Pelodiscus sinensis: one gene and its partner. The protein of the gene in region 1 purifies or fractionates together with the protein of each later gene. This does not show direct contact. Links are inferred from orthologs where the notes say so. Each region holds a gene or a part of one and is shown on either strand. Other genes may lie near its edges.

The links.
Region 2: the proteins of DHX8 (region 1) and NKAP purify together in Homo sapiens (co-immunoprecipitation; 3 studies listed by BioGRID and IntAct, with this or other methods). This does not show direct contact. The link is inferred for Pelodiscus sinensis from reciprocal best matches to the Homo sapiens genes DHX8 and NKAP.

What each region holds. Positions count from the first base shown.
Region 1 is NC_134739.1:7,993,325-8,005,708, reverse strand, and holds the start of DHX8 (ATP-dependent RNA helicase DHX8), read left to right. Parts: upstream 1-7,430; 5' UTR 7,431-7,491; coding exon 7,492-7,603; intron 7,604-8,666; coding exon 8,667-8,752; intron 8,753-10,024; coding exon 10,025-10,097; intron 10,098-10,987; coding exon 10,988-11,076; intron 11,077-12,027; coding exon 12,028-12,137; intron 12,138-12,241; coding exon 12,242-12,384.
Region 2 is NC_134723.1:33,980,803-33,993,302, forward strand, and holds the start of NKAP (NF-kappa-B-activating protein), read left to right. Parts: upstream 1-6,950; 5' UTR 6,951-7,078; coding exon 7,079-7,404; intron 7,405-9,221; coding exon 9,222-9,302; intron 9,303-9,981; coding exon 9,982-10,058; intron 10,059-10,274; coding exon 10,275-10,388; intron 10,389-12,146; coding exon 12,147-12,195; intron 12,196-12,500. Other genes in the region: ZBTB33 (transcriptional regulator Kaiso), read right to left, coding at 6,674-6,701. UniProt on the Homo sapiens protein: Acts as a transcriptional repressor. Plays a role as a transcriptional corepressor of the Notch-mediated signaling required for T-cell development. Also involved in the TNF and IL-1 induced NF-kappa-B activation.

The DNA of each region.
Region 1 (12,384 bases):
AGCCCAAGCAACAGGATTTCCTTGGCTTCCCTTAGCAGACTCTTCCCTAGGTCGAAACATTTCACTGCCAGGGAGAACAAGGAGGAGTCCTTGTGGCACCTTAAAAACGAACATTTATAGACTCATAGACTTTAAGGTCAGAAGGGACCATTATGATCATCTAGTCTGACCCCCTGCACAGTGTAGGCCACAGAATCTCACCCACCCCTCCCAGAATAATCCTCTCACCTATATCTCAGATATTGAATCCTTCAAAGACTTTGAAGACCCCAAGATGCAGAGAATCCTCCAGCTGTGATCTGCGCCCCATGCTACAGAGGAAGGCGAAAAACCTCCAGGGCCTCTGCCAATCTACCCTGGAGGAAAATTCCTTCCCGACCCCAAATATGGCGATCAGCTAACCCCTGAGCATGTGGGCAAGACTCACCAGCCGGACACCCAGAAAGTTCTCTATAGTAACTCCTATCATCCCTCCGTTGACCTATTTCCCACTGATAATGAATGGTCAATTCGTTACCAAGACCATGTTATCTCATCAAACCATCCCCTTCATAAACCCATCTAGTATAATCTTGAAACCACATAGATCTTTTGCCCCCACCACTTTATTAGGGCCTAAGCTTTCCTGGGTTGCAGCTTGCTTTGTCAGATGCATGGAGCGAAAGAGTCAGAGGGCCGGGACACATACATACATGCAAAGAGGGGATCCGTGCTAATGAGGCTAATTCAGTCAGGGCTGATGTGGCCCACTTCCAACAGCGGGATTAACTAATGAGGTATGAGACAGCCAGGCCCAGGCCCTATTTAGACCCATTCCGAGGGGGTAGGATTTGCCTAGGAATTCCAGCAGCAGCAGTTTCCCGCTGCGGTCCGCTCTTGACGTTTTTTTATGCCCCGATAAACGTGTCCGTTTTTAAGGTGTCACAGGACTCCTTGAGGTTTTTGCTGAAATAGATGAACCTGGGTACCTCTCTGAAACTGCCAGGGAGAGTTTCCTGAGAACCTAGAGAGCTTCCGGGGGTAGCCGAGTTAGTCTGTAAGGGTATGTCTACACTACCCCGCTAGTTCGAACTAGGAGGGTAATGTAGGCATACCGCACTTGCAAATGAAGCCCGGGATTTGAATTTCCCGGGCTTCATTTGCATACACGAGGTGTACCGGTAGTTCGGAATAGGCACCCTAGTCCGAACTACCTAGTTCAAGCCCCGTGTAGCCGCGCTGCACGGGGTTCGAACCAGCGGGGTTTTAAAAATGGCGGCTCCCCGCTTATGCAAATGAAGCCCGGGAAATTCAAATCCCGGGCTTCATTTGCAAGTGCGGTATGCATACATTACCCCGCTAGTTCGAACTAGGAGGATAGTGTAGACATACCCTTACAGAAAAAACAACAAATGGTCTGGTAGCTTCAGACGCTGCATGAAGAATAAAATAGGGATGTAAATACCCCGTCAAAAAAATTAAGCAGTTAAACAATATAATTTTAATTGTTTAGCTGGTAACCATGGAGGGCTGCTGGGTTCTAGTAGCCCGCCATGGGTGGGACAGCGGCTGCTCCATGGCTGGGGTCCTGCCAATCAGCCTGCTGCAGGCCGAGATGGGGGTAGGGCTGCTTCTGCTGGCCTGGTCCTCCAGTTAACTGGTTAGCGGGTTAGCATGCCACTAAGGCTAATGTTTACCAGGTAACTGGGTAACCGTTTAACTTTTTACCTCCCTAGACTAAAATAATGCACGCTCCCTTTCTTGATTCAGTCTCAGCGTACGCCCGTGTGCAGCCTACAACCATTGCTCCTCGTCTTGGCTTTTACATCCTTCAGATCCGTGCAGAGAAGCTTAGGAACCCGCACTGTCATCTCTCGGCCGGGTTTTAATCCTGAGCTCTTTTAGCCTTACCTCAGACATCAGTCCCTTCAACCAAAGGTCATTTCTGTGGCTCTTCTTGACGCGCCCTCCAGCTTAGGAGGACGGAGCAGGGTTGGGGGGGTCCTAGATGTGGCAGAAATTGGATTTATTGCACCCCCAACCCTAGGGATGGTGGATTACTTCTGTCCAGTGAAGATTCTCTGAAAGTGGCTAATGGAAATGATGGAGAACTGGTGGCTTTGCATAGTTTTGTTAATGGGTGGCCTCCTCTTAGGGGAAAGCACAAAGCCAGAGACATTTCGTGAACATTAGCGAGAAGGGCGTGCCCACAGAAATGCCAGGCGCTGTCCGTAGATCACGGCGTGTACATCACAAGACTCCGGGGGAATTCACCATTCCAGCAAATCCTTGTTTGAAGTATTGCATTAGTGAAGGGTACTTGGCTGCTAGCCGAACAACGCTGGCTTCTCTCCGGGGCTCTGTTCATGATCATTGTGTCAGATGCTGGTTCATGTGCAGGTTGGTGGCTTCAGGGTTCACAGGCGTGACTTGGATAGCACAACCAGAGACACACAACACCGTCTCCAAGAATTTCTGCAAAGCTGGGGTGGCAGGTATCATAGGCGGGGGGAGGCATTGCCTTCCCAAACCGCCAGGCATGGCCCCGCCCACACTCTGCCCCCAGAATGCCTACTGTTGCCCCGGAGTGCTCCAGGGCTGGGGAACCTGGGGCTGTGTGCCACTCACCCTCCCCAGTGCTCAGGGGCCTGGAAGCCTGGGGCTGCATGCTACCTGCCCTCCCCATGGTGCAGGAGGCGAGGGCTGGGCAGAAGGGGTGGGGTTGGGGGAAGTGTTAGGGGTTTTGCCTCCCCCAGTCCAACCTTCACCCACCTCCCCTGTTTTTAAAGGAGAAACGATTGCTCTGTGGGGCTGAAAATGCAAGACTTTGGACTAGCATTATAACCCACTTTCATTTCTCTCCCAGCCTTTCCTTTGCTGTCACCTCCTCCCGGATGAGACAGTGCCCAGAAAGATGCTGCTTTGCTGCAATCAGCTCCTGGATTGGATATTAATCAGCTGGAGATTTGAATAGTCATGCCCATGTTTCTGCTTTGCTCTTCATCGTGTTGCCTCGCCCCTGGACAGCCTGCTTGGCTGTCTCGTCTCACACCTGGGCTGTACATTCTCTGGAGTAAGAGACGACTTCCTTTGTTATTTGTCTCGACAGCGCCTGGCACTAGTCTAGCAGAATAGCTCCTTGACAGGTCTTTTTACTGTGATACAAATAATAATCTGGATATTAGAGGGAAAAAATTCCTCTGTCCGCTACTTCTCAGATCCCCATGCTTCCCATCACATCAACATTCCTTAGACCCCCCATCTCCAGACTTGTGCTGCTTTTCTCTCTCCCTTTCCTACATCTGCAGCCCAACACAGTGACCATGGACAAGGCAGACTTTGAGGAAGTAGGAGGGAATGTATAGGAGTCCGTGGTGATACAGCAGGACTGACACACTAAGGCTACGTCTACACGGAGCTATTTTGGGTATCATTTTTTGAGGAGTAACGTTAGTTCGACTCAAGGGGTTTGATTCGAACTAACGCATCCCGGAACGCACTTCCTGGTTCGAATCAGCTGGCGAGCGGAATAACGCACGGGTGAGATTATGCTAATGAAGCACGGGATATTTAAATCCCCGCTTCATTAGCAATTTCGGTCGGCTACATTTGCATCCCTAGCTTGAACTAGAGAGCAAGTGTAGACGTACCCTAACTTACTTTGGGCTAAGTAACTCTGGTCATCTGAAGAAGTGGGCTGTGCCCACGAACGCTCATGATCCCATCTATATGTTTTGTTAGTCTATAAAGTGCTACCAGAGCATTTGTTGTTTTTTTCTGTAGCAGACTAACTCGGCTACCCCCTGCAGCTTTGGGCTAAGTGCGAGCCACAGAATTTTCACTTTTCTGTGAAACATAAGGCACTGCTAGGATGCGTCTACAGTTCACCCGTAGCTCAAAATAAGACATGCAATTTGAGCTATGCAAATTGCATAGCTTATTTCGATCTTATTTAAAAATAGTTTATTTTGTAATTTGGCACTGTCTACACAGCGCCAAATTTTGAAATCACCCGCTATTCTGAAACGTCCCTTACTCCTCATGGAATGTAGTTTACAAGGACATCAGAATAGCGAGCCCGTGATATTTCCAAATAACAGGCTTGCTGTGAAGACATGGAATAGCTATTTTGGGATACTCTGGTATCCCAAAATAGCGCTGCAGTGTAAACATAGCCCTATTGGGCAGGATACTGAATTACATAGAGCGATACTTTTATCTGGTGTGGCAAATCCTATGTTTACCTCTCAAAGGCTATGTCTGCACTGTGAAGCTATTTTGGGATCCCAGAAGATCCCAGAATAGCTATTCCACATCTTTTGAGCAAGCCCATTATTTCAAAATATAACGGGCTTGCTATTTCGACATCCCTATGAACCTCCTTCCACGAGGATTAAAGGACGTTTCAGAATAGCACTCTATTTAGAAATTTACTTGAAATAAGCTGTGCAATTTGTGTCACTCAAATTGCATAGCTTATTTTGAGATAAGAGTGCAGTGTAGACACACCCAAAATGTCTGGGCGCCTTCTGGAAATCCTAGCTTTTAAAACCATAGACAAGGTGCTTTACTGCCATCTCCTGGCCAAATCAAACATCTCTCTCTCTTGGCTTAAAAAATGTCACTCACAAATGACAGGACCCAGGGCATCCATACAGTGAACTTGAAATCCAAAAATTTTTCAGACATTTTGCCCATTGAGAATTATAAGAACTGAAGAAAACTGGCAAATTTGTTCTGAGTATGACATCTGATGTAAATCCCTGTCCTCTCAACACAGAAAGTGAATTGAAAAAGATGGGTGGTGCACACTAGAAACAGGAATTAGAACAGGGGCAAGGAACCTTTTTGGAGTCAAGGGCTGATGTGTAGTCCAGTCCCGCAGTAGGTGCAGGCTCCCCAATGCTGTGGGGGGAGCTGTAAGCCTTGGGGGCCAGATCCAGGCAAGTCAGGAGCTGCATCCGGCCCCCGTGTCTGAGGTTCCTCACCCCTTCAGTTTGCCTCCCCCAGCTGGGCCTTCATTCACCACCCATGCAGAATACTGAACCTGTGAAAAAGCCACTGAAGTGGTAATGAAGCCATTTAACAGGCATTTCCCAAACCCTGGTATAGACTGTCAGTTTCTGAATTTACTGTGTTAGTCAACAGGACCTTAGTTTAAAATTTGCTTTAAAAGATTTCAAGAGTGTGTTGCTGAAGATGATAAAATCACAGCTCTAAAAAACCATCATCCCCATCCCGGGCTGCCATTGGGCATAGGGGCACCCGTCAGGAACAGCCTGAGGTGGGCTGCAGCAGTTGGTGCCCCAGGCGGAACGCGTGATCGGTGCTCCCGCCTGCAGGGCCATCAATGGACTGACGTCATCATCGGGCGCTCTGGGTGCCCCGTTGAAGGTGGCACCCTAGGCGGTGGCCAAGTCTGCCTATAGTCACGGGCCACCCCTAGTACCAGTTTAATAGTCCTGTGTAGAGCCCCATGAATCCCCAGGACATCCCTGGAAAACATTGCTTGATCTAAATACCGTGTATTGTGATAAGAGTTAAGATTTAGCCTGCATGCTTATTTTTTTCTTTTGGTAGCCACTCTGAGTTTTTGCTTATTGCTTATAATCACTTCAAATCTATCTTTTGTTATCAATACACTTGTTTTACTATCCTTACCAGCGAGTTTGCCTAAAGTGTTTGGTAAGTCTGCTCAGGTTTACAAAAGCCGGTGCCACTGATGAAATGATGAACCAGTTAATAAACTTGCATTGCAGAAGAAAAAGTCTTCCTGAGGTACAAGGCTGGGAGCCAGGGGAATTTGGCTGTTGCCTTTCTCTGTCTGATTCACGTCTTCTAAGACTTCAAAAATCAATGTGTCTTTGCAGGTACAGATCGCAGGATGACCTGCCAAGCCTTTGATTTGCAGCAGGCAGGCAAAATGGATGGAGACCTCTTGTGGGCAATGATGTAACCAGGTGACCACCAGCCAGTAGTCATTTTAATCCTGATGGTTTAGCTCCTCTCTGGGGAACAGGCAGGTCACTGGTGCGTGTGGTGAGGAGAGCCTGGCTCCATGTTTGTTTTCACCCTACAATGCATGGTCTGTTACAGGGGTTTCATTGTGCTTGATGGTTTCCTGCAGACTCTACTTTGTGGCCATTCAGGCTCTGGTTATGGATCCAGCCTGGAAACGCTGCAAGGTCCCCGGAGCTGGTGATCCCCTTCCCTTGGCATGAATGTTCTTTGTCTGTGAACCCAGCCTCTGCCGGGGGGAGGCAGAGGGGGAGGCACATTGCCTGGGGAGAAGCCCCCGTGGAACATCGGCATGGAATGCTGTGACGCTGGGCGGGAGGGGGAGTTTCTTTATGGATGGGGTGGAATCTCCCCCCCTACAAACACAGCGAGGGGATTCCCCACCACGGCCACAGGTGGGAGGGATCCCCTCACTGACGCAGGGATCTCCTCATTGATACAGGAGGGATCCTCTCTCTGACATGGTCAGCATCCCCTCACTGACAGGGGGTATCTCCTCTCTGACAGGGGAGGGATCTTCTCTCTAACATGGGTATTCTACTCACTGACAGGGGAAGCCCCTCTTTGACATAGGGGGAGCCCCTCTCTGACACAGGGGTATCCCCTCACTGACGGGGGGGGGGAAGATCCCCTCTCTGACATGGGAGGTATCCCCTGACACAGGGGTATCCCCTCTCTGACATAGGGGGTATCCCCTCTCTGACACAGGGGGTATCCCCTCTCTGCCATGGAAGGTATCCCCTCTCTGACGGGGGTATTCCCTCTGACAGGGGTATCTCCTCTCTGACATAGGGGGAGCCCCTCTCTGACACAGGGGTATCCCCTCACTGACGGGGGGGGGAAGATCCCCTCTCTGACATGGGAGGTATCCCCTGACACAGGGGTATCCCCTCTCTGACACGGGGTATCCCCTCTCTGACATAGGGGGTATCCCCTGACACAGGGGGTATCCCCTCTCTGACATAGGGGGTATCCCCTGACACAGGGGTATCCCCTCTCTGACATAGGGGGTATCCCCTCACACAGGGGGTATCCCCTCTCTGACACAGGGGGTATCCCCTCTCTGACATGGGAGGTATCCCCTGACACAGGGGTATCCCCTCTCTGACATAGGGGGTATCCCCTGACACAGGGGTATCCCCTCTCTGACATAGGGGGTATCCCCTGACACAGGGGGTATCCCCTCTCTGACACAGGGGGTATCCCCTCTCTGACACAGGGGGGATCCCCTGACACGGGGGTATCCCCCCAGCGCTCAGGGCGACCCTGTGTTCGAGGCTTTCAGGCCCCGCCCCCCGCCGGCCGGCCGGGCTCAGGAAAGAGCCGCCCCTGCACCATAGAGTGGGAGGCGCCGCCTCCCTGCCCGGCTCCAGTCTGAGCCGCTCTAGCCGGCGCCGCCGTCTCTCTGGCCAGCGCCCTGTGCGTGCCTCCCCCGTCGCGCGGCGTGACCCGGAAGTGGATCCGCTCCGGGGGCGCGAGGCCGGGGGCGCGACGATGGGGGAGCCGGCGGTGGCCGAGGAGCTCGCGAAGCTCGAGTACCTGTCGCTGGTGTCCAAGGTCTGCACCGAGCTGGACAATCACCTGGGCATCAACGACAAGGACCTGGGTGAGGAGCCGCGGGGGGGGCTCGGTCCAGAGCGGGGGGCGGGTCGCGGGGGGGCCGCCGGGGCTCGTGTTGGGGGGGGGTCTGGACGGGGTCTACAGGCGCCCCCGGAAGGGGCTGAGCCCCCCCCCGAGAGCAGCTTGATGGGGGGGTGCAGGAGCCAGGGGACCCCCCCGGCGGGGTCTGGACGGGGTCTACAGGCGCCCCCGGAAGGGGCTGAGCCCCCCCCCCGAGAGCAGCTTGATGGGGGGTGCAGGAACCAGGGGACACCCCCCCCCATTCGGGGCTGTACCCAGCTGTGTCTCAGCGGCAGAGTTGCAGTTTGAGCCAGCGCCTCCTGGTGCCAAGGGTGTCTGCGGTAAGAAAGTAAATGTGTAAACATTAGGGATGTTAACAAACAATAAAACACGTTAACCATGTAACTCAGTTTCTCTCAAACGGTGGGTCCTGACCCCCCGCGGGGTCGCGAGCAACTTGAGAGGGTGGTTGCAGCAATGGAAAGAGGGGTCGTGAGCAACTGAGAGGGGGGTCGCGGTATCACAAGTTTGAGAACCCCTGGTGTAACTGATCAAAATTCTGTCCGTTATCTGGTTAAACTCTGCATGGGCTGCAGGCCCCACGGTTAACCGCTAACGGTAACCGAGAAGCATCAGCTTATCAGTTAACGAGTTAAACTCTTGCATCCCTAGTAAATATGTATTAATTAAACAAGGAATTGGCCTGGTGGTATTTTTGAGCTAGGGTGGTTGTGCTGAGTGTTGAACAAATGTAGTTAAAAAGACAGCTCTGGCCCCCAAAGAGTTGAGGGTCTGGAGTGAGCATATGAGCTCTCTTCTCAGCCAGAGCCATTTGCAATCCCTCCAACCCTGGTTTTGAGCAGGTGGACCTGAGACAGTGTAGAAAGAAAAACTGGCACTGCTGCAGCCCGTGCATTACTCCAGGTTCTGTGACTGGATGAGGGACTTCAGGTTCAAAGGTTGCCATGCCAGCCCCTTTCATTAGAGTGAAATGCATGTGGCCTGACTTCCAGTTTTTATTTATTTCACTCTCATCACTTTGTTTGCAGCTGAATTTGTGATAAATCTCGCCGAGAAGAACACCACATTTGACATATTCAAGGCTGCCCTTACAAAGAATGGCGCCGAGTTCACAGTAAGTGAGATGCAAACACAAAAATTGTTTATTTAAAAGAGAGTTGCAAGGATTAAGTGTGTGTGTGTTGTTGTGCAGTTATTTTCACTTAATTCATGTATGCTGGCTTCCAAACACTTTTGTATAATTAAGAATGATACAATTTTGAAGACTCATTTGGGCTATTTATGTCTTATTACTGCGCATGTGAAGTGCAAGAAAAATAGCTTGTCGTGAAAACAAACTTTTTATGGTGCTCATACACCAAGCTAATAAGTACCTTACAAACAGATCAGAGTGATTGTCATGGTTAGAAACAATGAGTAGTTCTATGGCACCTTAGAGCAGGGCTGCTCAATACGCGGCCCGTGGCCTGTTTGTTTGCGTACTGCAACGTGGTTTGGGTCTACATGGGACTCAACATGTGGCCTGTGAGTAGGATCCTTTGAATATGGGCTCCACTGGGAACACGCTCCACAACAGCGAGGTGTCTCCCAGGCGGGGTGAGCATTGAAAGACACAAGTGGACGGGGTGGCTTGAACAGACGGGTACAGGGTATTGGCATTTCTAGACCCCAGGGAGGAGGTGCTGGGAGTGCCAGGGCATTGTGGGAAGTGCTTTGTATTCATGCTCGACCGTGTGAAAGAAGCTATTTGCATATATATTTGCATGTTTATGCAAACACACTTATGTTGTGGCCCTTGGTATGTGTTGTCAGTATCATTGTGGCCCCTGGGGCTTCTAAAATTGAGTAGTCCTGCCTTAGAGACTTAACAAAATATATATATATACACACACACACACACACACGTGTATATATATGTATATATGTATAAAATATAGTATCATGACCTTTCGTGGGCAAAACATGTTTCTTCAGATGAGCTTGAATGGAGCTCAGCTCATCTGAAGAAGTGTGTTTTGCCCACAAAAGCTCATGATACTATATATATTTGTTAGTCTTTCAGGTGCCACAGGACTACTCATTGTTTTTAAAGTTACAGACTAACATGGCTACTCCTCAGACTTTTAAACATGTCATGGCTAGAATTAGTGACTAGTGTGGAGAGTCACTTACATGCAATTTTCATAACGCTGTAGAGTCTGCACCAAGCAGCTGAACTTTTATGGTATACATGTAAATTCTTGTGACTGCAGCTCTATGCTTCTAGATGCTTTTAGAAGTTGGAATTGAGCTTTTTGTTCCCTGCTAACAAACCCTACCTTGTACTAATGTGCAAAAGTATTGCAATCACTTAAAAATATCTTCTGTGCTTTATTGAATTTTTCAGGACTCCCTCATTAGTAATTTGTTACGTCTCATACAGACTATGCGGCCTCCAGGAAAGCCATCTACAGGCAAAGGTAAGTAAATACTCACTGCTCCAACAGCTCAACAGAAAGCCGTCCCAATCCTTTCAGCAACTGTTGAATATTATGTGTGACAGAGAAATAGCTATTCTTATATGCTGTTATTCCAGTGGAGTTCCCTGTATTGCAGGAATCACTGTGGCAAAGGTTTTGGGCTGCTCAAGGAAAGAGCTTTACTCGGTGCAGAATTTAGAGTATTTTATATTTCACTATCTTACTTAACCAGCATTTTTTTGGTGAAGGGAAATGTTATTCTTAAGAAGGTAAGAACTGTCATACTGGGTCAGACCAAAGGCCCATCTAGCCCAGTGTCCTGTCTCCCAACAGTGTTCAATCCCAGGTGGCCCAGAGGGAATGAACAGAACAGGTAATCATCAAGTGAGCAGAACCTAGGGATGTCATTCCTTCCCATCCTGCCTAATAGCCGTTGATGGACATACCTTATATGAACTTACCTAGTTCTTTTTTGAACCCTGTTATTATCTTGACCTTCACAACATCATCTGACGAGGAGTTCCACGGGTTGACTGTGCATTGTATGAAAAAAATACTTCCTTTGTTTGTTTAAACCGGCTGTATATTAATTTAATTTGGTGACCCCTGCTCTTGTGTTATGAAAAAGAGTAAGTAACACTTCCTTATTTACTTTCTCCACCCCAGTCATCATTTTATAGACCTGTATCATATCCCCCCTTAGTCAACTTTTACAAGCTGAAAAGTCCCAGCTTTTTAATTTTTAAAAGCTACCGTAAAATTTACATTCAGAGCTTAAATGACTACAGTATTCGGTTTAAGAAATGACAGTGACAAATTATTGTAGCCATGTGATAAAGGTGCATTTCTAATGTGGTTTTTTTTTTTTAAACGCTTTTTTGTTCTAAAAGCAGAGGCAGTTGTCAAACCCAAAACAGAAAAGGAAAAGCTGAAGGACCTGTTCCCAGCCCTTTGCAGACCAGACAATCCCACTATCAGGGTAAGGATGACGTTTCACACGTTAAAAATCAGTGCATGGAAGTATCATGCTTGCTCTCTATTTTTTCACTCTTGGTTTGCAGTTGCTACATTAACATGATCATCTGCAGGGCTCGCCAGGCGGCGGCGAGTCCCGCTTGCCAGCCGCGCAATTCGGCACGCTGAGCAGCTGTGCCGGCTGTAATCTACTCAGTAGATTACACTAATTGTTGAGCCCTGATCATCTGTATTGTGCTTCTAATGCACAAAATGTGATGGGGCCTGAGAAATGAAAATGCAGAATGTCATGGGAGGTCAGTAGTTAGCTGAAGATTGCTGGAGGTTAGTTGCAGGGGATTATTGTTAATATAGCTCTCTCAGAGCCAACACTGCTTTGTGGAACCTCCATCCTACCCTGACAAATTTACATTCTAACGCAGACAATATAATAAGTGGGATAATGGTTCAGGTGCAAAACTGCCTGGCATCACTGAGACCATGGAAGGTGACTTTGGTTAAGGAGTGGTTTTGAAGGAGCATGTTTGACACCTAGGCTTGAAAGGGATTGCATGGCGGAAGGTACAAAGAGCAAGAAAATGAGGATGATAGAAAGGAGGATTCAGAAAAGTGCAGAAAGTAAGAGGCATAGAAGAGGCAAAAGGAAAAGGTAGAATTGTGCAGAGGCTTGAAGGTGAGGTTGAAAAAATTATTAGCATACTAGGCTACCCAAGTTGCCTACGGGTCACATGCATATGAAGATTTTAGTAACAATTTAAAAAAGTCTCCAAAGTCTTACATAGAGGCAGAACTGTTAGAGCCATGTGCCTTTAAGTTTCATGGTGTAATCATCCCCATATTTTAGCTTCTTTACAGTATATTTCTCTGTGATCTTTTCTCCTCCTTTCCAGAAATAGATGTGAGGTTGGTAGGTTTTTAATCAGTTTGCTTACAGAGATATTCTCTGTGTCTACAGACTATGCTGGATGAAGATGATGTGAAAGTAGCTGCTGATGCTCTTAAAGAACTTGAAGCTTTAATGCCTACTGCCGGTGGGAAGGCAAAACAAAGGAATACTGATCACCGGTAAGTTTCCAGTGCATCTCTGGGCCATGACTAGCTAGGAAGTATAGTGTCTGTGTGACCTGCTCTTGCATGAAAATTTAATGCAGATTGTTGATGTTTGTCAGGACAAAAAAAAAGAGGAGGAGCCGCAGTCGCAGTAGAGACAGAGACAGGAAACGGAGGCACCGATCCCGTTCCAGGTCCCGTTCTAGGACTCGGGATAAGAACAAGGGGAAATCCAGATACCGCTCAAGGAGCAGGAGTCCGA
Region 2 (12,500 bases), on another chromosome or scaffold:
ATATTATTTAGTTTTATTTTTAAAAAATTAAGTGCACAAAATCTAACTTAAATGTTTCAGGTGGAATGAATATTTCACTTGATCCACATTTTCCTCAACTTTTTACTGAAAATTTAAAAAAATGTTTTCTGACCCTTAATGATTTTTTATTTATTTTTCAACATTGCCCTTCTCTAATCATGAGCACTCAGCATATTAATGGACATACAGTATATAAAAAGTGTATCTTTAACAAAGGCACACTCTCCTGAAAATGTCAGTCATTTAAATAGGTTTTATCAACAAAGTAGTGTTAAACAGTCTGATAAAAATCTATTTCCCTTAGCTCAACTTTCACTCTGTAATCTCTTGTCACATTGCCATTACTAATTCCTCAATCAATCAGTCTTTTATCTAGATAGAACATGTGAAAGTAAAAATCCAGAAAGCTGATTTTCTTTTAAATAACCCTAGGTCTTTAAACATTATAAAGAAGCAAAAGGAGCCATTGGCTCAGCATTTTCCCCTTTGCAAACCATTTTTAAATGGAAAGGTTTAACAACCTGGAGATGCCTTTGTGCCATGAAGAAACATGTTGTCTTGGCTGATCAGAACAATGCATAGGGCTAAGTGATTTGATTCACCACTGCAGTGTACCTTGCATATTCAGTTACAGCAGCCAAAGTAGGTGTAAAAATTCCACCATACCTGCTTTGCAATGTGGGAATGACAAGAGATGAAGTGCAATAGTTAATTAGGTGCTCTCAATTAACATTATTTAGGCACTATAAACTGTAAACAACCTTTGAAGAATTGGTGATTTTTGAGGTGAGCTAATCCTGCGGGGGGCTTGAACTAACATGGTTTAAAACCTCAGTTGCAGTGTTAGAATACTGAAGACACAACAAGTGTCTTCCTCTCTATTCTGACAAGGCCTCAGTTGAAGTATTGTGCACAGTCCTGGGTGCCACATTTCAGGAAAGATATGGACAAACTAGAGAAAGTCTAAAGGAGGGTAACAAAAATTATTAAAGGTCCACAAAACATGACAAACAGTTTTCAAATACATGGAAGACTGTTCAAGGAGGAGGGTGAAAAACTTTTCTGCTGAACTGCTACATAACCAATTGGTCCCCAGCCTGTAAGAATGCTTGGGATTCTGCCGTCCCAAGTGCAGGACTCTGCACTTGTCCTTGTTGAACCTCAACAGCTTTCTTTTGGCCCAATCCTCTAATCTGTATAGGTTACTCTGGACCCTATCCCTGCCCTGCAACATATCTACCTCTCCCCCTAGCTTAGTGTCATCCACAAACTTGCTGAGGGTGCAATCCATCCCCTCATCCAGGTCAGTAATAAAGATGTCGAACAAAACTGGCCTTGGAACCGACCCTTGGGGCACTCCACTTGAAACCGACCGCCAACCAGCTATTGATCCATTGATCACTACCCGTTGGGCCCAACAATCTAGCCAGCTTACTATCCACCTTACAGTCCATTTATCCAATCCATACTTCCTTAACTTGCTGATAAGAATATTGTGGGAGATCATATCCAAAGCTTTTCTAAAGTCAAATATGTCACATCCATTGACTTTCCCTTGTCCACAGAGCCCGTTACCTTATCATAGCATCTAATCAGATTGGTCAGGCATAAAGTGCATGAGTCCCCCACTAACCCCATGCTCCTGTGGCACTTCTGCCTTTGAAATATAGGAAGAGCCAGCAGGGCTCTTGCTACATTTCAAAGGTGGAGGTGCCCTTATCAACTAATCAAATAGTTGATGCAAATTGCATTGACTATTTGATTAGTTGATTAATCTAAATTTAACATCCTTACCCCAGTGCTATCCCTGCCTCTATAGCCTGCCCCCACCACTAGCTCAGCCTCCAGAGCTCCCCAGCATTAGCCCCACCCCCTCACCCAGGCCTGCACTGCTGACTGCATCACGGCCAGGTCTGGGTACACCACCCATCACCTTCCCTCCCACTGCAGCTGTTGGGAAAGGCATGTCCTGCCCCGCCTCTCAGCCAACCAGCACCGGGCAGGGGCAGGGTCTCCTCCAGCCATGGACAAGCTCTTCTCTGTGCAGTGGGAGGGTCATATGGAGCGGCTCCAGGCAGCCTTCCCACAGAGCAGGAAAGCATTCTTCTGTGGCCGGGAGGAGACTCTGCCCCTGCCCCTCACTAGTTGGCTGAGAGGTGAGGCAGGACACGACTCTCCCAACAACTACGGCAAGAGCAGTGTATCCCAGCCTTGGGCCCCAGAGCCACCGCAGCCCAGCAGCCAAAGGTCTGTGGCCTGACAGTGAGCTGCAGCCTGGTGGTTGGGCACTGCTTGATTATAGCATTTTGTGTGGAGGGCGTTCAATTCAGAAATTTGCTTTCTCAGTTTGGTGTGACAAATGGATGTTGGAATTAAAAAGTGACTAAATGGATGCTGCAGGATGCAGTGGGACCAGGCTCTGAGTTAAACCACTCTGAGTTAAACCACTTAACCATTTTAACATCCCTAAGAGCAATAGATGTGAAGTTTTGACTTAAACCATCTTAAGAGTAGTTTTCTTTTTTGAAAAAGGAAATGTTCATGGTAGAAATACTTAGGGACAGAGAGCATTTTTAAAGACTTACTTCTGTGAGACAGGGAAAAGTCTTCAGTCATGACAGAGTTATACTTAATTTATTTTAAAAGAATAAATAAAATTTGCTAGAGACTAAATAACAGAACCAAGCTTTCATGAACATGTCATGAGACAGAAATATCTTCACTGAATACCTAGGTTCAATTTTCAGTACCAATGAAAATTTGACAGTCATTTTAACTGGATTATCTCTAGGGACAGAAATAATCTATACAAAGAGCAATATTGTGATGCTGGGAACACTACTAATGCCAGAAGGACAGTAGAACACTAATTCCCATCTGATTTCTATTTTTTGCTTTGTTTTGTATTTTATGCATTGGTTGGCTTTTAATATTGTAATAAAACCTAGTTCAACTCCCACTAAAGTCTGTGGAAGACTTTCTTTTAACATTACTTGGAGTTGGATCATATGCCACATGTAGCAGCATGCTGTTATATGTAGAATGCAATAATTATATAAACACTATCAATGGGCCACTTATTCCGGAAAAGCAACTGCTTTTCCGGAATAACTTGCCAGCTGTCTACACTGGCCGCTTGCTTTTCCGGAAAAGCAATGACAATCTACTGTAAAATTGTCAGTGTTTTTCCGGAAAAACTATGCTGCTCCCATTTGGGCAAAAGTCCTTTTCTGGAAAAATTGTTCCGGAAAAGGGCCAGTGTAAACAGCACAGTAATCTTTTCCGCAAAAAAGCCCCTATCGCGAAAATGACGATCGGGGCTTTTTTCCGGAAAAGCGCGTCTGCATTGGCCACGGACGCTTTTCCGGAAAAAGTGCTTTTCCGGAAAAGCATCCTGCCAATGTAGATGCGGTTTTTCCAGAAATACTTATAACGGAAAACTGTTCCGTTTTAAGCATTTCCGGAAAAGGGTGCCAGTGTAGACGTAACCTATGTATAAAATACTTCAAAGAGCTTTACAATTACTAATTAACCCACAGAAGACTACTGAGGGATAGTTGAATATGTTAATCACCATTTTACCAACAGAAAAACTAAAGGAGAGATTCATGGTCTTAGTTTTCAAGGTAATGAGTAGCTGTCTTCAGTGCAACTAAAAGCTAAGGCTACGTCTACATTGGCAAGATTTTGTGCAAATACTTTTAACACAAGAGTTTTTGTGTTAAAGTATTTGCGCAAGAGAGCATCTACACTAGCATGTGCTGTTGCGCAAGAGATGTGCTTTTGCGCAAAAGCATCCATGCCAGTGTAGATGCTCTCTTGCGCAAGAAAGCTCCGATGGCCATTTTAGTCATCGGGCTTTCTTGCACAAGAAATTAATGTTGCCTGTCTACACTGGCCTCTTGCGCAAGAACAGTTGCGCAAGAGGGCTTATTCCTGAGTGGGAGCATCATAGTTCTTGCGCAAGAAGCACTGATTTCACACATTAGAATGTCGGTGTTCTTGCGCAAGAACTCCCCGCCAGTGTAGACAGGCAGCATGTTTGTGTGCAAAAGCGGCCGCTCTGGCGCAAGATCATGCCAATGTAGACACAGCCTGAGTGTCTGACTTCACTGGAGGCTGAAGGTGCTCAGCTCAGTTAAAATTCTGGCCACAATTTAGTCTAGTTCCACAGATTGTGTCAGAGCTGGGATTAGAACTCAGGCTCACTGACTTGTACTCAATTCACTACTCTCCTCCTACTCTATTAGAACATAGGCTTCAGAGGGGTAGCCATGTTAGTCTGTAACATGAAAAACTTAAAAAACAACCAATAGTCTACTAGCACTTTAAAGAGATCACTCAGAAGCATTAAACAAGGGAAGTCTCCTGATATTCATTGTCATTATCCCCACAGCACTTCTGGCAATGGAAGAGATATCCCAACCTAAGGGTACGTCTAAACTACATGGCTCCATCGACAGAGCCATGTAGATTTGTTGTTTTGGCAAAGGCAAATGAAGCCGCGATTTAAATGATCGCAGCTTCATTTACATTTACATGGCTGCCGCGCTGAGCCGACAAACAGCTGATCAGCTGTTTGTCCGCTCAGCGCGCTAGTCTGGACGCTCCCCTGCCGACATCAAAGCCCTTTGTCGGCAGCCCCGGTAAACCTCATCCCACGAGGAATAATGGGGCTGCCGACAAAGGGCTTTGATGTCGGCAGGGGAGCGTCCAGACTAGCGCGCTGAGTGGACAAACAGCTGATCAGCTGTTTGTCGGCTCAGCGCGGCAGCCATGTAAATGTAAATGAAGCCGCGATCATTTAAATCACGGCTTCATTTGCCTTTGCCTATGTGTCTAATCTACATGCCTCTGACGACAGAGGCATGTAGTCTAGACACAGCCTCACTGCATAGATAGAAACATAATGTAAGAATACCATGCATAGTGCAGTTCTTTGGTGCTATACATTTACCAATTTACCAAATGCATAGTGCTATACATTTACTAATTTCCATATATAATTTGAACAGGTTTTTTGCTGCTTATGCCACACCTTATAGATCTGGTAACTGAAACAGCTGTCCAACTATAAACAACGTTGAGACATATCCTTCTATTCGATTTGATTTTGGCTTACATAAGATGACATGACAGTATGAGATAATATTATAAAATAATTCTTTGGATATTTATGGCAGGCTTACTTGATGTCAGGACAATATTATACATTACTTCCCCAAGCAAAAGAAAGACTGTTACCTACAAGAGGGCTTTTAAAAAAACAAACAACATCCTTGATAAAGATTTCCTCCATTGACACCCATTTAAAAAAAAAAAAGGCTGTTTGCTTTTATTATGTAACTTTTATAACTCTCTGGATTATTGCTGTGTTGTTTATTTTGATTCTAAGGTGACCTTTTAAAATAAAAAAATCTAAGGACTAATGAAAACGTAGTGGCTTTTTGTATGTTTTGCATGTTTGTTTATTCCTTCATTGCTGATGGTTGTTTGGTGGGGGCAAAGGGTCAACTGCTGTGGAAAAACTAAGGGCAAAAGGTTGGATTTTGCATTGAAATACGAAAGCAGGAAGATTCAGTCATTCTAATTTTGGGGGGAAGGAAGTTCCATAACCATGAGCTGTCCACTGGAAAAGTGCTGTTTCCACTTATTTTAAACATTGTTCCTGTTGTGGACAGCTCCATCATTCCAGAAAAAAGTCATAGATGTTAATTCAGGCAGCTGGGACACATCCCATTTGAAGAGAAACTTTGGAGAATAGCACTGTGACTTTGAACTGTCTATCGGACATTCAAAGCTTAGTCTGTGTAGTTCCTGAAGGCACTAGATTAAAATGCACTCTTGCCTTTTGATGCTGGTCAGTAAGATGGGCTGCTGCATCATGAGGCTTTTCCAGAACTTGCATATTCATCCCCATGTACAGGTCACCGTAGTTATCAAGTGTAATATGGAGTCAGTGAGGGAAAGTCTTTTCTACTGACTTTTACTTTGACTGAAGCATTGTATGCAGCTTGCCCTGTTAGCACAGTGACCAACTAGGTTGCATCTCACAGATTGCACAGAACAGGATGCTGATGACAATGCCAAAACAGTAGGAGGACAGAAATTTTGACTGTCGTTTACTCCTGTTCTCCTTGGGCACTTCCATCTCCCACAGGATTCTGAGTCCTTCTTGTTTAATGGCACCTTTGTAGAGCCACGGATTAAATTATTCAGTGATACCTCACTACAGCAATGGAAGGGGCTGGGGATGGGATGGGATATCCAGCGCCTCTCGCTGCTGCTGTTGCTTGACTGCCTTAAGTATTGACTAAACGCTGCTTCCATCTGATGGCTGGTCTGGGACCTATGTCGGGGAGATGCTGGTCTCAGGCCGCTCCCGGGGGCCGAGTTTCACCCTCCCCACTGCGCCGGGTGGGGCCACCTGTTCTCTCTTCTCAGCCTGGCGACTCCAGGAGGCTGAGGCCTGCCCCGCGGGACCTTTGGGGGGAGCCCATCTCCAGCAGAGCCATGGGCGCTGGGCTCCCCCGGCCACAGGGCAGGCTGCGTCCCCTGCACCCACATGGGGGGCAGCACCATGCGTGAGGGTCAGGCCGCCCCGCTGTCAGATGGGGGCGGGGTGCCCGCCCGCCTCTTGGTCCCTCCTTACCTGGCGCTTCGACCCCGTTCTCCTGCATCCCGCCGGACTCCGACAACCCGAAGCCGTCTGGCCGCTCGCACGGGGTCGCCCGCAACGAACCCTGCCGTAGGAACCAAGCGACACCGCCTCGTTTCCGGGCGGCGACTCAGCCTGTTGCACTCGGTTGTTCAATTGCTCTGTGCACGAGTACCGGAAGGGGTTGGTAGCAACACTCGGAAATTGTTTCCCGGGGGACGGATGTGGGTGGTTGTACCCGGAAGCACTTTCTTAATATGGGGGGAAAGGGCGCAGAAACCGGAAGTGGTGTTGCACGGGATAGTTCAGAAGTGCGCCACCCGGAAGTCCCCGCGGTCGCTGCTGGCGCTACGGTAGCAACCCGGGAGACCTCTCCTGCCCCCGGCCCGGGAGGCCGAGATGGCGCCTGTGTCCCGGTCTCGAAGCCCTCCAGGATCTCCAGGCCCCCGGCGGAAGGGCGGCAGCAGCTCCTCGGCGAGTCCCTCGCCCCCGAGAACACTCCGGCCCCACCGGCCTGCGTCCCCCGAGAAGCGGGGCAGGAGGTCGCGGTCCCGGGAGCGCAACGGCTCGAAGCATCGGCGGAGCCGCAGCTGGTCCCGCTCCCGGGAGCGCACGCCGGGCGGGCCGCGCTCCTCCTCCGCTCACCACGGGCACCATCACCACGGCGGCGGCAAGCAGTGGCCGGACTACTATGAGAAGGAGAAGGAAGAGATCCTGCGGCAGAGGCGAGTCTCCCCCCCCCCCAACCGAGCTGCCTTCGCCCGCCCCGGCTACCCGAGCTGCAGCGTGTGCCCCGCCCCTTTTCCCAGTGCAGGCGTGTTCCCTGTTACGTACCTTTCCGTGCCTTGTCCAATCTTCTTTTAAATGCCCCTTACCACTTAGCTACCAGATTCTCCTTCTCATAGTAGTCCTTGCTCTACCTTATTTTTTTTGGAAAATTAGGTCCGTTTTCCCTAACTTTGTCTATTAAAGAAATTATGCAGGGATGTAAATTAGAGCCTCAAAGGGACATGAAATGAAATAGTGTGGAGACATCTGTGTTAATGCAATGATGCAGCCCCACAGGTATGATAGGGCCCAACTTGTTAAGTTATCATGGGTAGCTTGCAAAAGTGACAATCTTCCAGATAGTTAGGGCCCAACCAAATTCATAGTCCATTTGGGTCAATGTCATGATTATAGGATTTTTTAAATGGTAAATATAATGATTTTGGATATTAAAAGCTGGAGCTTCATGCTGTTGCAATTGCAGGGGTCCTGATCTACAAAGGAGTTGTATGGGGTTTGCAAGGTTTGAGTGGCGGGGGGTGGCACTACTGCACTTTTGTGCTGCAGATGGTGGTGGTGCTGCCTTCAGAACTGGGGATCTGGAAAGTGGTGGCTGGGAGTCCAGCGTGGAAGACATTGCTACTGCCAGCAGCAGCACAGAAATAAGGATGGTATGTTATGGTACTGCTATCCTTCTTTCTGCACTTCTGCCTGCAGAGCTGGGACCTTAGTTAGCAGCTGCCGTTCTCCAGGTGCCCATCGCTGAAAGCAGCAGTACTGTATTGCCACTGAACTGCTGCTGGCAAGATGCTGCCTTTCAAATTACAATTACTGCTGTATAGTTGCCCAGTGCTGAAGGCAGCACAGAACTAAGGATGGCAGTACCGTGGCCCTCCTAAAATAACCTTGTGATCCCCCTGCAACTCCCTTTTGGGTCAGGACACCCAATGTGAGAAACACTGGTTTCCCCATGTATAGTATAGGCTAAAATCACACACAAGTCCACATTTCATTGGGAGGACTCCAGATTTCACAGTCGACGATGCATTTTGCATGTCTATGAATTTGATAGGGCCCTACATATAGTACAGCTTTAGGTGCTGAAATTAGGGGTGCAGAGGGTGCTATTGCTCCTTCTGGCTTGAAGTGGTTTCAGTTATAACAGGATTTACAGTTTGGTTTGATGATTTTCAGCACCCCCAATATAAAAACTGCCAGTATCCCTGATTACAGTCAACAGTGATGACAAGTCTGATTGTTCCGATCAGAAGCAAAGCATCACATATTAGAATGTGTTGTCTCTACAAATTAGGTCTTCCATTTTTTTAGACGAGGGCACATGGAGAGATGTTTTGTGCAGTTATCTGCCACAGACTAGGTACCTTTGCCTGTTTGTTTTAGGAAGTGGATGTAATCATCATGGTAAATATTTAGATACATAATTTGTAATGGAAAAAACTATCAGGAACATTACATATGTGGCCAAAAATCCTGTTTTACCAGACTACAAAGTCTGAGGGTTAACTGAAGCATGCAGAGGTGTTTCTTAAAAATGTCTCAAACATACTGGCCCCCCAGTAACTGAAAAATTAGTGTTGAAGTGTCTTGTTTTTGGAGAGAATAAGCAAATTTTAGATACTAACATGAAGAAAATATCCTTTCAGCAAATTTAATTATGGAGACGAGAAATGCTGATAAAAACAAACTATTCAGGTTTTGAATACCTGTTTGATGGTAGCACATTCGGTTTTAATGCAGGTATGTATCTTTATAGGAGACTGAATGAAAGAGAGAGGATTGGAGAACTGGGAGCACCTGAAGTCTGGGGACTGTCACCAAAGGTTCCTGACCCAGAGTAAGCAATTTTTCATGGGATTTTTTTGCCTTCTGGCACTCTAATTTGGAGGCTTATATAAGATAACATTTAATTAATATCAACACTAATATTTACAGAAATGTCTTGTTGTTATTCTTTGTAATTCATATTACATGTCTCCAAAGTTAAATCACTAAACAGCCATATCTGGATACCATATTTTGTATAATGCCAACAAATCAATTACATAAGGTTTCAGCATGTTGTAGATCAAATGATGTTGTCTTAGTATTGTGGTTTGAAGAGTGATTCAGATATTAGCTATTTAATCGTTTCCTTGATTACTAACACAGGCTCTGAATTTGCAAAAATTGTACATGTGTAGATCCCTGTGTGGATACAAAATTTGTATCCACCTTTGTATCTGCAAAAATGAGCTGAGAATATCTGCATTGACATCCATGGATGTGGATACCCCTGGATATAAAGTAGATATCTGCAAATATTCAGGGTTCTATATACAAAAATTATATCCTCACCTGCATCCATATCTTAAAAAATGAGCTGTGGATATCAACATCCACAGATGCGCATACCCACAGATATAAAGTGGATATCTGCATTTGCAGAGCTCTATACATGTATTTGATTTTTGGACAAACAATCCCCACTTCAAATGATGTTTCATAATTTTAAATATCTTTTTGTGTCTGTTCAGTTCTGATGAGCATACCCCAGCAGAAGATGAGGAAGCAAAATCTAAGAGGAGCAGCTCTTCAGATTCCAGTTCAGAAGGTATTTTGTTTTGACCTCAGAAGTTGTTTACACATTAATAGAAGATTCAGGGTTAGAATCTGTTCACCTTACTTACAAAGAACTTCAGTGACTTAGTTAAACTAGCATAATAAAATTCCATGTAAAGGGGTTCTAGTATACTAAAGCCAAAATATTAATGGCATGCCAGGCTACACTTATCTTGAAAGTTAATGTTCCCTTTTCAAATCTTTTCAGAAGAGAAAAAAAAGAAGAAAAAAAAGGAAAAGAAAAGAAAGAGGTCTAAAAGAAAACACAGGAAGCATTCTGGGGACAGTGACAGCGAATCTGAGTCTGAACTAAACTCCAGTGGTAAGAAAGCAAGGCTTCTATTAAGCTATATATGATTTGAAACTTTCTATTGTATGCATTCTTTATAATCATGTGGAATATTGTATCTGTTGTGTTTGCATCCTTGCGGCATTCTGGGATTTTGTATATTAGTTGCTCATTAAGGGGAAAAAATGAATCTCTTAACTATAGCTTATATACTAAGATACATTTTTCTCTTCTCCCCATAGCTGTATAAATTGTAATGAAGCTTTTTGTAATTCCACTTGTACCTGTGCTTGGCCCTCATTTTCTGCTCTATCCCAAGTCTAACGTTGACCAGTTTCTCTTTGTGCCATTTTCCTATTTTCATCTCCAGGCTACCTCTTACCTTTAGAATGGCCTGTATTCTTGTGCACTAAATCACCGCTCTCTCCACTCAAATGTCTCCTTAAAACATATCTTCTATGAAGTCTCTCAGCCCTAATCCACTTTGTTCAAGATGTGAAAGCACATCATTATAGTCCAGAGGCAACAAACTGCATCTGCTGCTGCACTTCTGTAACCATTCTCATATAAGTGAATAATCCTGTATTTTAAATTCTTTCACTGTTCAGTTTTTCTGTGTGCCTTGCTTCTGTGCGTGGGATCTGGCCATCAGGGAAAGGTATCCTGAATTTAATCCATCAGGCATTTCAGGTCAGGTGGTGATAGTATATCAGTACATTCAATAATATTATTTTTGCCATTGTTTTGAAACCATAAATAGCCTGGAATTGAGACCGTCCCCTCTAATACATATAACTTATTCCTGGGGGATTTCTGTGCTCAGTATTTTAAAATTGTGCATATTTTATTTGTCAAAACATAATATAATCACTCAATTTTCAAGTATTTTGGTAATTGTATTTCAAATTACTTGTCAGCAAGTATGTCTGTAACAGTAGAGACAAATAGATTTCTTACTAGACATATTTATACAGAACATTGAATAATCCCTTTAAACTACACTACAAAAATGTATTTCTCCTACCCTTCAGAACAGTGCAAAGGCTTGGTGTCATTGGGATAACAGAGAGCTGAGAGACAAGGAAGGAGCCTGAGAGTAAATCTGGAGGGTTGTTGAATGTGGGTGGGAAAAGCAAGAAACAATTTTGTTGGGGGGGATTTTTGGCTGGGTGGGAGAGGTTGTTAAAAAGCTGGGGAACCTTCCCCAGGCAGACCCTAGCCGACCCAAAACCTCTCCCATTCATTCAGGCACATTTGCTCCCATCAGCCCTGGCTTTGTGCTGTCACTCCTCTAGCTCCTGAACTTGTGCCCCTTTCAGTATCTCTCCTCCACGAGCCCTTCTGAACCTCAGTCTGTAACCCCTCCAGAGGCCCCCCCCCCCCCCTTTATCCGTCCAAACCTGACTCTGAGTAGGATGCTATGATGAACCCAGCAGGCTGCTGGCTGTTCTGGTGCCACAGTGGCCTCTTGTGGGTGAAAGGCAGAACTGCAACAATTAGTAAGCAGAATATATTTTCTAGGGGGAAGGGGGGATGAATTTTGCACATGCACAGTGGTGCAGAATTCCCCCAGGAGTAGTAGCTAACCATTAAGCCATTCTGGTGTATGGTGAGTCAAGGAATTCAATAGCATGCCTACTCTTATCTCAGATGAGTTGCTAAGTGTACATGGCTTTAGTTCTCTCCTTCTTACTGTAGCTGCTGTTGTAGAGAGGATTGTATTTCCAATAAAGCTTGGTACTTCATTTTATTATTGTGGGATTTTGGTTATTTTACGTTCATTTTTTTTAGATGAGGAAGAGAAAAAGAAAACCAAGAAGAAGAAAAAGAAACATAGAAAGTAAGAGCAATTCTCCAAAATATTGCATTCAAAACACTGCTGTCTTAAAATCTGTATCTTCCATTAGGGGGCAGCATGGTTGTGATATTATTTGCCTATCTAATGAGTAAGGAAAAGCCAACCCTTCTGTTTCTCATGTAGTTAAAAGGATATCCTGTAATAGGCTATCTTCAGAATCAACATGATTCTACCTCAGACAAACTGAATTCTGGCTAATAAAAAACCCAGTCCAAACTTGAAAGAATAATCAAGACCTATAAAGATAATTGTATGATCTGTGGAAAGAAGCATTTTTGGTGAATTAT